2 linked regions of the Caenorhabditis elegans genome follow. The protein of the gene in region 1 interacts with the protein of each later gene in a pairwise test. Each region holds a gene or a part of one and is shown in the gene's direction. Other genes may lie near its edges.

Region 1 (6,764 bases):
CCAAAAAATGTCAATTCTGCCAAATTGCCGGTTTGCCGGAAAATTTCCCCAAAGTCATTGATTTTTTTTTCAGCTGCTCCTCTACTCCCGCCACTACAACCTGAAAATCACGCGAATCCACGAAGACTACGCTCACCAGTCCAACTACACCCTGGCGGCAAGATTTCAGGCCAAAGAGAACGTCAAGTGCTTTAACATGATCCGGATGGTGCTTATATCTTTAATTGGTATCCTGATATTCGGCTTCACCACCTGCTTCGCCTTATACTTTAATATATTCCCGCAAGCCGATTCTCTGCTGAACCTCTGCATGCAAGCAGTTATAAATCTATCGGCTTTGGTGATGTGCCCGGCGATTCTATATTCTGTGGATTCTTTTCGGAATCATACGTTTTTATGCAAAAAATTGAAGAAAAAACGAGAAAATACATCTATAACACCACATGTTAGTACGGTGAAAAATTTGGAGCTGATGAAGGAAACGGAAATTCATTTTAATCAGTTAACGAATACATGGATTTAATTATTGATTTATTGATTTTTTTTAATATAAAGAAAATTATTTGAAGTGCTGTAGTTGCTTTGTTAATTTTTCAAACTTCGGACAACCCCGGTTTATCGATTTTTTCTGAAAATTTGAATTTACATAAGTTTGATCGATTTTCTTTATACATCGGCTTTTCACGAAATTTTGAAATTACAGATTTTTCACGCCCCGCAAACGCGAATGGCACGTGGTGTCGGTGTGCCGATTTGATCTACGAGAATTGCGGGTATTTAGAGACCGATTTCTCAGCCGACGTCACATCTGTCTGGTGGGTAAAAATCCCGCATTTTTTGTAGACCAAAAAAGGCAACCAACCTCTGCCTGCGCTCATTGCATAATGGCACACGCGCACCCCTTAAGTGTCGGTACACAGCTCCCCACTACCTCTGCCGCCTCGTCCATTCAGTATCGCTTCTTCGGCTTATTAGCTAAGATCAAAGTGTAGTATCTGTTCTTATCGTATTAACCTACGGTATACACTCGAATGAGTGTAATAAAGGTTATATGATTTTTGGAACCTAGGGAAGACTCGGGGCTTGCTCCGACTTCCCAAGAGTCGTCCTGGCGTTGCACTGCTGCCGGGCTCGGCCCAGTCCCCCGAGGGGACAAAATAAACGAATCGCAAGTTGATCTGAAATGTCAAAGAAATTTTAGCAAAAAAGGGAAGTGTTCAAAAACGACTCCTGATTTTGGAATAAAAATTTCAAAAAAAAAAAAACACACACTTTTATTTGTAAAATTTTAAGTTCCAATTTTTGATGAAATATGGCTCATTCTTCTCCATTCACTAAAAACTAATAGAAAAACAAATGATTATCACTGAAATTTTTTAACATTTTCGATCAACTAGAATACGGTAACCGCATCACCCCGAAACCAATAAAAATATTTTACAGGTGTTCGCAAATATGATCGTAAAATACATATAGAGGGAGGAATTTTCGTGGAAAATTTTGCGATTTTTCTAAATCACCGGGAAATTTCGATTTTCTGTTCCATTGCTTCAAAGCTTCAAATAATCGTTTTGCAATTTGTCAACTGTAAAAATAAAGTAATTGTTCTCGGTGGCCGAACTTTTCCGTTTGGCGGCCACGATACTTGTTCTGTGACGTGGCGCTAACCTTGTTTTTAAGTACTTCTTTATTATTTGTTTATTTGCCCACACGGCTTGAAAAGCAGGATGTTTTCTACATTTTTCATTTTGAAATGATGATGTTTTTGTCAAATTATTATTTACAACTGTTTTGGCATTTTAAGCGGCTCAATTTTGAATTTGTTAAATAGTTTTTTTTTCAAGCCTTCAATCATAACATTTTTAAATTGCATATTCGATTTTGAAATTTTCAAAAAATTTACCGCAAAAAAATGCAAAAAATACACGGAAATTTGAAAATACCGGTTTTAAGCCATTTTTGGTTTCTTTCTGGAATTTTGCACGAAAAAATAGGCGCGGAAATTCAATTATAATTAAGCTATTCAGGTTTTTTTTTTCTCGAACGATACTGTAGGGTTACTGTAGGAGGGCAGTAGGAATACTGTACGGTATTGTAGGGTTATGAAGGGTTAGTATAGAATTATTGTAGAGTACTGTATGATTAATGTAAAACTACTGTAGTAGTACATTAGGGTGACTACTGAAGGATTACTGTATAATTACTGTAGGACTACTCGTGAATTACTGTGGGGTTACTAAAGAAGTGCTGTAGAAGTATTGTAAGCGTAATGTATGAGTATTTTAGGGGTATTATAGGGGAACTGTAGGGTACTGTAGGATTACCAAAAAGTTCTAGAAATTTTGCCAATTTCTTGCCAAGTTCCTAGAGGAACTGAAATTCTTTTGAAAAAAAAATTTGAAGGCGCAGATCACTAGAAAGAAACCTTTCAGACAAGGAACAAGTTTTTAAAATGTTGAAAAAAAAAGTTGCCTATAAAGCTTGTGACAAAATAAAACAATAAATTGTGGAAAAATACGGAAAAAAAGGATGATAGGATAAAAATTGTCTCTTTTTTAAATTTTCTAGATTAAAAAACCGGCAAGTTCAACGTACACATCAGTATCAAAGTCATAAAATGTGTTTAATTTTCATCAACTCTAGTAATACACTCCAAAAGCCCCACCGTCTTAAACACCGAAACACGACAATGTCAATTCATGACGAAACAGGCAAAAACCTATAAAACTCGATAGGCCTATATGTGCCAGGCCTTATCGAAAAAGGCCTCTCCCGACCTCTCCGCCCTAGTTTCTTATCAATTTTGCTGTGCTCTTTTCTAGTTGAAATCAACTCATTCAACAGATTTTTAGGTCGAACAAAATATGTCTTTGGAGTTGCTCAAATGGATTATGCTCGGAGTTATGGCCTTGATGACTATAATTTTTGGCCTATTACCGATAAAGGTAAGATTTTTGAATATTGGGTATTTTTTGAATTTTTACGCAAATAAAATGCCTGAACGCCTTGATTATGCCTACCTGCCTGCCTACCTGCCTATCTGCCTACCTGCTTACGCCTACCTACCTACTAATTCCATTTAAAAGATTACTTTGTAGACACAAGGCAAACGTATGTTAAAGCAGGCAGGCAGGCAAGTAGGATCATTCTCCAAAAGGGGATTAGGCTTAGGCTGAGGCTTAGGCTTAGGCAGAGGCTTAGACTTAGGCTGAGGCTTAGGCTTAGGCTGAGGCTTAAGCCTAGGCTTAGGCTAAGATTTAGGATTAGGCTTTTAGGCTTAGACTTAGGCTTCGGCTTACGCTTATTTAGGCTTAGGCTTAAGCTTGGCGTCAGTGGCGAGCGTTAGCGCGTTACTGACGCTATTTAGGCTTATTAGGCTGAGGCTTACTATTAGGCCAAGGCTCAGGCTAAATACAGCAATTCAAGATAAAATTGTTCAATTTTTTTTCAGGTAATTTCCTACCTGAACACGACGAAAAGTGCAATTCACCAACACTCTTCCCTTATTCTCTCACTATTTTCCTGTTTTGCCGGAGGAGTTTTCCTGTCTGTATGCTTTTTGGATATGCTACCGGATTGCTTGTAAGTTTGGAAAAAATTGGAAAAAATTGTGAATAATTTTCAAAAATTGGAAGAAAAACGGCGGAAAGAAATTAATAATTCTGAAAAAAATCGCTCCAAAAATTCTTTGAAATTTTTTTTAATTTGGTGGCCTAGTTTTTTCCCAAAAAAATTTTTTCTTGCAATTTCAAACGGAAATATAATTTTAAAAAATCTTAAATCACAAAAAATGCCATCTGGTCGTGGAAATAAAATTAAATTTTTATGAAAAAAAACCCAAAGAACCCTGAAAAACTGCTAAAAAAATTTCTAAATCGGTGGACGAGTTTTCTTTTTTCGCGGCCACCAAGCAAACATGTATGTATGCAAGAACGTCTACTAAGCATTTCAGAGAAGCCTGGGAATCCGTACAAACCGACACAAACTACACCAGTGACTACCCATTCGTCCAACTAATCGCCCTACTCGGCTTCTTCTTCGTCTACCTCACCGAAGAGTTATCCAGTGTGATCTGTAATGTAGGCCATGGGCATTCACATTCAAATGATCCAATTATGGAGTCCAATGTGACATTTCCACGTGCGAGACTAGCTACTGTAGGCAGTATTTTCAATGTGGAGGGGAATTTAGTGGAGCCGTGCAAGAGAAGTCTAGAGGTGGGTTCAGTGAACTTTTTTTTTGGTTGGACTAAAAGCTTTTCGTTGAAGTGAACTGGAAACTGATAACTTAGTGGTGATAAGAATATGACAGACTATGTGCAAATGTACAAAATGTATAGTATTTTTAACTTTGATCTACAAGGGTTTCAAAAAAGAAATCTGGAGACGTGTCTATATTTCAAACGGTCATAACTTTTTAGAGGCTTGAAAAGTAAAAAAGTTGTCAACTAACAAAATATAGAAAATTTAAAACTTCATATTTTGTTAGTTAACAAAATTTTGATAATAGTTGGCCTAGCGGAGTTATGAGCATTTTAAGTAAGCATACATTTTCAGAACTACGACGACGACGGTGAGGGTCCGGTACGCCAATCAATCATCTTCACCTCGGCCTTCATCCTTCACGTCTTCTTCGAATGCTTTGCGTTTGGAATTCAAGAGGATGCAGTTTCAGTCACGTCGATCTTCCTGGGAATCGCCATGCATAAGGCGATCGTCATGTTTTCTCTTGGGATGAAGCTCACGAGAACTCATCCGCGACGCAGTTGGATTGTCGTAATTCTTATTTTGGTTTTAGCACTGTTTAACGTGATCGGCGGAACAGCTGGAATTCTGATCTCCAGCTCGAATATGAATCAGACGCCGAAGGATATCACGACGGCGGTTTTGATGAGCTTCTCCCTCGGCACTTTTCTCTATATCTCCTTTTTTGAGGTGAGTTTAAGACACTATTGTGGCAGTGCGAGGTTACTGTAGAATTACTGTAGGGGTACTGTATTATGGTAAGGCGGCCATGTGGGGTTAATGTATTGGTTAATTTAGGGGTATTGTACTATAGTAGGGCGGCAGTACTAGGTTTACTCTAGGATTACTGTAGGAACACTATACTAATGTAGGGTGACAGTCCTAGGTTTACTGTAGGATTACTGTAGGGTGGTAGTATTAAGATTTCTGTATGATCAATACACTACTGTAGGGTGACAGCTCTAGAGTTACTGTAGGATTACTGTATGAACACTTTGTTACTGTAGGGTGACAGTTCTAGGTTTGCTGTGGGATTACTGTAGGAACTCTTTAGTACTGTAGGATGGCAGTACCAGGACTACTGTAGGAACAATATATTACTGTAGGTTTACTGTAGGATTACTGTAGGAACACTACTACTGTAGGGTGACAGCTCTAGGTTTGCTGGAGGATTACTGTAGGAGCTTTTTTCTACTATAAGGTAGTAGTATTACGATTACTGTAGGAACACTATACTACTATAGGGTGACAGTTCTAGGTTTATTGTAGGATTACTGTAGGATTACTGTAAAGCCACTTTACCTACAATTAACCCCATTCATATATCTTTTTTCTTCCAGATCCTTGCCCCAGAACGTGCCAACAACCACTCCAACATCCTTCAGTGGATCGCCAGTTTTGGAGGATTCGCCCTTCTCGCTGTCAACATGATTTGGGCTACCTAATCTTTTTTTTTTTTGTTTCACAATTTCTTAACACCTTGCATATTATACGTCATATCTGACATACCGGTAGATTTGAAAACAACATTTAAAGAAAAAATAAACTTATTATTTTTTTTTTTTGTCTTGAAATTTTTTTTTGAATACAAAACCAGAAATGTTTGAACCACAGTAAGAGAAAATGAAAAGAATCAATGAAAAATACCCGCTGTTGATGCGTCGTGGTCGTGAAAAACCTTGGCCACAATTATGCCCCCTAAAATCAATCGATACACATTACTGCCAGCCCGGTGATCCGGATCTTTGACTGCTGATGCTTGTCGGCGAGAGTTGATCTCGTGGTGATAGGCAGGCGGCAGGCGACACTGGCCTACTTATCAGTGCCGGCGGTGATGGAGATATCGTCAGCGAGTTCCGGTCGGCCATTAGGCGATAGAGAGCGTTCAGTGTTCGGTTACTAGACTCCACTTTTCGGTCGAGGCTTGACATCTGAAAAAATGAGAGGGTTTTAGTGAGGGGTACGGTAGTTTGGGGGTACTGTAGGGGTCCTATAAATTTAGAGGTACGGTAGGAGGGGGGTACTGTAGTAGTACGATATACTTGGAGGTATAGGGGTTGGGAATGTAGGGGGGGGGGGGGGGAGGGGTACTGTAGGGACACTGTAAAAGTGATGATATCACAGGTACGCTAGGGGTACTGTAGGGTTACTGTAGCCTTACTGTAGGATCCCTTCACTGCTGTAGGGTAGCAGTATTACGCTAGGGGTACTGTAGGGGTCCTATGAATATAGAGGTACGGTAGAGTTACTGTAGGGGAACTGTAGGATTACTGAAGGGTCCTTTTTCTACTGTAGGGTAGCAGTACTAGGCTTACTCTAGGATTACTGTAGGAACACTGCGCTACTGTAGGATAGGTTATATAAAATCAGAGGTGCGGTAGGGTTACTGTAGGGTTACTGTAGGGATACTTTCTAGATACGATGAAATTGACGGTACAGTTTGGACCAAAAATAGTTCAAAACATTTCTTATCTCACAGTTTAAGAACTTTAATTGTTTTTTTTTTTCATTTTCTTCCAA
Region 2 (5,367 bases), on another chromosome or scaffold:
ATGACGTCATCATCATCTTCGTCATCCTCATTTTCAGATCGATATCCATCTTTGGTCATATTTCCGTATTCCGTTTCATCCTCATTAATCTCCTTTTTCGATGCAGGCTTTTTGTCGTTCAAAATTGATAAATTATCACGGAGTAGGACACGATTCAGGCGCGTTTTGCAGTAAATCTGAAAAAATTGAGGGTTTCTTGGTTTTCAGAGATTTTTTTTGTAAATTTTCACGAAAAAAAACAGTGCCGCACAGAAATAGAGACAGAGCATGATTTCGCAATTTTGCAGCACGGGTTTTTCTCTGATTTTCACTGTTTTTTGTAGATTTTTCAATAAAGTTTCAATTTTAATTGTTTCGTTATCTTCTTTTTTTTGATTTGTGCAAAATTCACGGATTGATTGCTTAATTGAAATCAAAACTCCACGTAAAACGTGATGAAGTTCGCGAAAATCTTCTTTTTCAGCCGAAAATTGTCATTTCTCGAACCTTATGAATCAGCTTCCTCGATTGCAAATCGTGTACTCTCAAAAATCGATCAATTCCAACGGAAGCAGCCAGCGGCAGTGTTGGATGAGCTGTGATGCTCCGGATAGATCCGGCTTGTCCCTTGAACTTGCACATCGGATGAACTTTACTGCGCAAATCGAAAAGTCCCATTTCTCCGATGGAATTTGCGGCGAGTATTTGATTGGTTTTGTATGTGAGCGAGGTACACATTATCGGATTTTCCATAAATGGGATCTTCTTGACGGGTCGGCGTTGAGCGCGTGGATCGTAGAGGCGCATCTGAAAAGAAAAATCGTTTTTAAAATTATTAATTTTAGTAGAAAAGCACCTCGTGAAGCTTTGTGGCCTCGAGAATCGTGTTCTGTCCTGGAATAAATCTTGCATCTGTAATCATGATAGGAATTTCCAATCCGAGCATATCGGGCGGCACATTCTTAGCGCTCCACGTCTGCTGGCCGGTCTCCAAATTCCACGTTTTCAGAAGATTCTTCATACCGCCCGTGACGATTTCTGGCTTCTCGGTGGATCCCCGCATGACGGCAACTCCTGGACCGGTCTTCCACTCGGACAAGATTTCAGATTTGTCATTCCAGATTTGCAGTTCGCCGCTTTCAACGCAAGTGACGATTTTTTCACTGAAATATTTAATTTTGAGATTTGAAACCACGGTTTTTGTATGATTACTCTGCTTTATGCAGGCCTTTGATTGGTCCAGTGCCTCCGGTAACTGTTAATATCGATACAAGTTCGTTTTCTTCAATGCCAAGTAGCTGCAGATCCCGATTTACTCGAGCGATCAGGATTTCAGTCTGAAATTCAACTTTTAAAATAATTTATCGACCATAACTAACCTGTTGCTCGTCATTCCAGATCATCGAGGTAATCTCATCGCTTTTCGGGTCAAGGGACTTGATTTCATTGAGATTTTGGAAGGTATTCTCCTTCAAAATTGCTCCTTTCAGAGCGCCAGTGGTTGCTCCCACGTAGCAGTCCATTTTACCTGAAAAATTGATGAAATAAGTCGAAAATAATTATTTCTTCGAGAAATTAAGCGCAGATTAAGGTTAAATTGGGAAATAACTCTATTTTAGCGAGAACAAAAGTAAAATTACAAGAAAAAATGCGAATAAAAATGAGAAATGCAAGTGCGCTCTGCCGAACAAGCGGCAGATTTGAATGCGATTTCTGCAATTTTATCATTTTTTCCATTATTGAATCACTTTTGAGTACATTTAGCTTATTTTCAATTGTTAACCTATTCTCTAAAAGAACAATTGTAAGTATTTTATTTTCTGAAAACAATTGTTCTATTTTTCATTCTTTAAAACCCCTAAAATATCTGATTTTCTTTTAATCAATATTTCTGAGGACAGCAAATCACATTTTTGGAGTTTATACAAAACACTTGAATGTTATTTTCTTATCAATAAGCACATTTTCTATCAAACCCAGTTCACTTTCAAATTTTTCAATCACTTTTTTCTGAACTTTTAAGCATTTTTGTCGACAGTGAGAAATATCGCCGACCGTACTCCGAGGCATGTGCGCTCCACCGAACGGGGGGCAATTTCAAATACACCCCGCGAGACCCACCAAGAGGGCGGCAATTTCCAGTGTTCACCATCGTTTGCCATTTGCTCTCTGCTCCCAAAAATCATCATTTTTTTGGTTTCATCGCTTCGCAGTTTCCGTTTAATATTTTGTCTCCATTTTCCCCACTTTCAATGTAATTTATTTCAGTATTTTCAGCATTCAAAATGATGCTGCGAAGCCAGGCCAAGAATGTCGACCTGACTTCACAAGGTGAGCGGATTTCCTCGAAAACTATTTATAGATTTTAAATTTTAATTTACAGCAGATTCTCGGCATCAACAAAAACGAAAGCAGGCTGAGCAATTGGATGCTCTAAAGAATCCATCGGAACCGGCAGCCAAGAAGCAACACAGCAAGGTAGAACGAGGATTATCGATTTTTTGGGCCTTCTCAAATTAATTGTTTCAGGGTCTCACCGAGCTCCGCGCACACATCTCTGGATTTAAAATCGACTCGGCAAAGCGAGATCCACTGGGAAAGTCGAGAACGAGTAGACGAGACGTCGAGAACCTTCCACCGCAAAAGTCCAGATATGTTGATCCGTGTCCTCATTACGATTACGACCTCGAGGAGGCCGGAAACCCGGACAGTATCTCGGACTATGCTCAAGGGATTTTTGACTACTACAGACACCGAGAAGTTCACTTTCGAGTGAGAAAGTACCTTCACAAACATCCGGAGGTTGACGTCAAGACTCGTGCTATCCTCATTGACTGGATGGTTGAGATTCAGGAGACATTTGAGCTCAACCACGAGACCCTTTACAACGCCGTTAAGCTCACGGATATGTACTTGTGCAAGACGAAGAATGTTGACAAAAACACCATTCAGGTGAGATAAAATCCAAAGTAGTCTATTATTTTTATCAATAAATTTTCAGAAGCTTGCATGTGTCGCCATCTTCATTGCCGCCAAGTACGATGAGCGATCTCCACCACTCGTCGATGATCTCATCTACCTTTCCGGAGATCGCTTCTCCCGCGATGAGCTTCTTGCCATGGAGCGTGAACTCTTCGCCACCGTCGGATATGATCTCGGCTCACCACTGAGCTATCGGTATCTTCGCCGCTTCGGTCGTGTCTGTCGTGTCGATATGAAGACACTCACCATGGGACGCTTCATTCTGGAGACATCACTGATGGTCTACGAATACGCTATGGTCTCACAATCCCGTCTTGCCGCCGCCGCTTTCGTCTTGGCCATGCGTATGCTCGACAAGAATAATGAGTACGAGTGGAATCCAGTGCTCGAGAAGTATTCTGGATTCACTGGAGAGGAGGTGATGCCACTGGTGGAGCACATGAACCACATTCTTCATTTTTCGAAGGACAAGTGGGCTCAACTCACATCCGTTCGCCAGAAGTATTCTCATGAGTGAGTTTTTGCAAAGAAATATCGATTTTTAATATTTTTTTCCAGAGTATTCTTCCATGTCGCCTCGATCCCAATGCTCCCGGATACCCTCAAGGTTGTGGATTCCCACACATATGCTCCAGTCCCAATGCTCTCATACCCATAACTAATCCTAATTTATTCCCGTATTGGATTCTGAATCCCCTCTCAACTGTTCACCCACCAAAACTTTCAAACGATTGACACCTATGCCTCTTTTGATATATTTTGTATACGTATTGCAATTCTCTTCTGTATTCCATTTAACTCCTGTCATCTCTCACAAATACACATACGCAATTTTGGCCTGATTTTGTTTTTTGCTTTTAAAAATCTGAACATATTGCAAAATTTCTACCAATTTTTAAACACATTTCGAGCTACGCCAAAATAAATTATTTTTCCGGCAAATTGTTTATTGATGGTGTGATTTCAGATTAATGACTAATGTGGAGACTTGAACTTGATCGGCGCAACTTTACAAGCGGTTTTTGTCCTTACAGTGCTGACAACGATAACTGCGGAGCCTGTAGAAAAGATTTTACGCCAAATTTCAGAGTTGAAAACGAGGGTTATTATTCTGAAATTTGAAATTTTCACAATCTTCATTGAATTTCTCACCCATCGAAGCAATGAACTGCTGCCCATAGAATTGAAGAAAATATGAATGTGAATTTTTTGTCAGGCAGCAGTCGAGGTCCCCATGTGAAACAGCAAACAATTATTAGTACAAACAAAGTTTGGCTCAAGGACTGAAAGTTTCATTTTTATGCAATTTGCGATGATAGTTTATTATGGGGCCGCAGAAAAACGCTCCATTTGAAATCAACGTGGAAACGCGCTCCACGGGCAATTGAAAATGCTCCGCCCCCAACAGCTGGGTCTCGTTAGGTATTTGGCGGCAAAACCGTGAATTCAAACGTTTTCAATTAAATATCTTTTTTTGTTATTTCAAATATTTTTACGTCGAAATTGAACAAGATGAACAGTTTTTTAAAAAAATTATCAATTTCGATTCAAAAATCAATAAAAATGACGGAAAAACGTTCGAATTTACAGGTTTCGCCGCTAAATACCTAACGAGACCCATTTTTTTGCATTTCCGTAATAACAATACCTGCTTCAGCCAGTTCAGCTCAATCGAATTTTTAACCGACTTCGTCCTCAATTTTGCCACCTTCCAAATGGCAGAAAAATTCAAAAATGCACTAGTGATTGTTAGTGTGAAAACTTGATAAAAATCTCCATATGTCCCATACCAACGGCAAATTTTTCCACCGGAATATTGAAATGCTAGATATTTAGCATTATAATAATTTTGGCATCCTACTGAAAGAATATTTTTGCTTATAATACGATGTACGATTTAGTGAACTTACAAATTTGGAAGAACAGAGTTATTAGGCCAAAGGATAATAAATATATTCCCATGACAATGTATTTGGTGAATTTTATATTGAACATTTGATTGTAAAATATTGGTGTGAATACGGATAGAAATCTATTTAGTGATATGATAAAATGAAAGTATGTTGAAGCTTTATAGCAGATCATAAGGATATATCCACATAAATGTGACCAATATGCGAGATATTCGTTTACGCTGAATTGTTTTTGGAAATTAGTTTGGACTGAAGAATTCTCAAAGGCGCGCGGATTTATTAAGATGGGTCTCGGCGCGTAAAAGTTCTTGGGACTTCCTCACCCTTTAACTCCTACAGTAGAGCCCTTTTTAACTCCAACTTCTAATTTCGAATTTCTGAAAAACTTACAAAAAGACCATCGGAGTTGCGTAAAACAAGTACAGCGTTGAAAACACGCCGTCCGAAGTTGCCAGGCCAACAGTTAAAATAGTAAACGGTTTTCGCAGCTCTG

What was found. The genes of interacting proteins can lie anywhere in the genome.
Region 2: the proteins of zipt-2.3 (region 1) and cyb-3 interact in a two-hybrid assay, tested with the Caenorhabditis elegans proteins (one large-scale study listed by BioGRID).

The regions. Positions count from the first base shown.
Region 1 is NC_003280.10:13,711,944-13,718,707, reverse strand, and holds zipt-2.3 (Zinc transporter ZIP3), read left to right. Parts: upstream 1-2,828; 5' UTR 2,829-2,864; coding exon 2,865-2,945; intron 2,946-3,451; coding exon 3,452-3,582; intron 3,583-3,952; coding exon 3,953-4,217; intron 4,218-4,445; exon of another isoform or gene 4,446-4,506; intron 4,507-4,556; coding exon 4,557-4,934; intron 4,935-5,584; coding exon 5,585-5,689; 3' UTR 5,690-5,802; downstream 5,803-6,764. Other genes in the region: sre-46 (Serpentine Receptor, class E (Epsilon)), read left to right, coding at 74-523; kqt-3 (Potassium voltage-gated channel subfamily KQT member 1), read right to left, coding at 5,963-6,175.
Region 2 is NC_003283.11:15,393,449-15,398,815, forward strand, and holds cyb-3 (G2/mitotic-specific cyclin-B3), read left to right. Parts: upstream 1-2,247; 5' UTR 2,248-2,264; coding exon 2,265-2,310; intron 2,311-2,362; coding exon 2,363-2,457; intron 2,458-2,508; coding exon 2,509-2,931; intron 2,932-2,980; coding exon 2,981-3,474; intron 3,475-3,519; coding exon 3,520-3,619; 3' UTR 3,620-3,900; downstream 3,901-5,367. Other genes in the region: T06E6.1 (WD repeat-containing protein 74), read right to left, coding at 1-176, 487-786, 836-1,142, 1,192-1,316, 1,359-1,502; fbxa-199 (G-protein coupled receptors family 1 profile domain-containing protein), read right to left, coding at 3,937-4,072, 4,114-4,244, 4,610-4,821, 4,872-5,095, 5,265-5,367. UniProt on the Caenorhabditis elegans protein: Could be involved at the G2/M (mitosis) transition. Interacts with the CDK1 and CDK2 protein kinases. G2/M cyclins accumulate steadily during G2 and are abruptly destroyed at mitosis. Plays a role during oocyte meiosis II.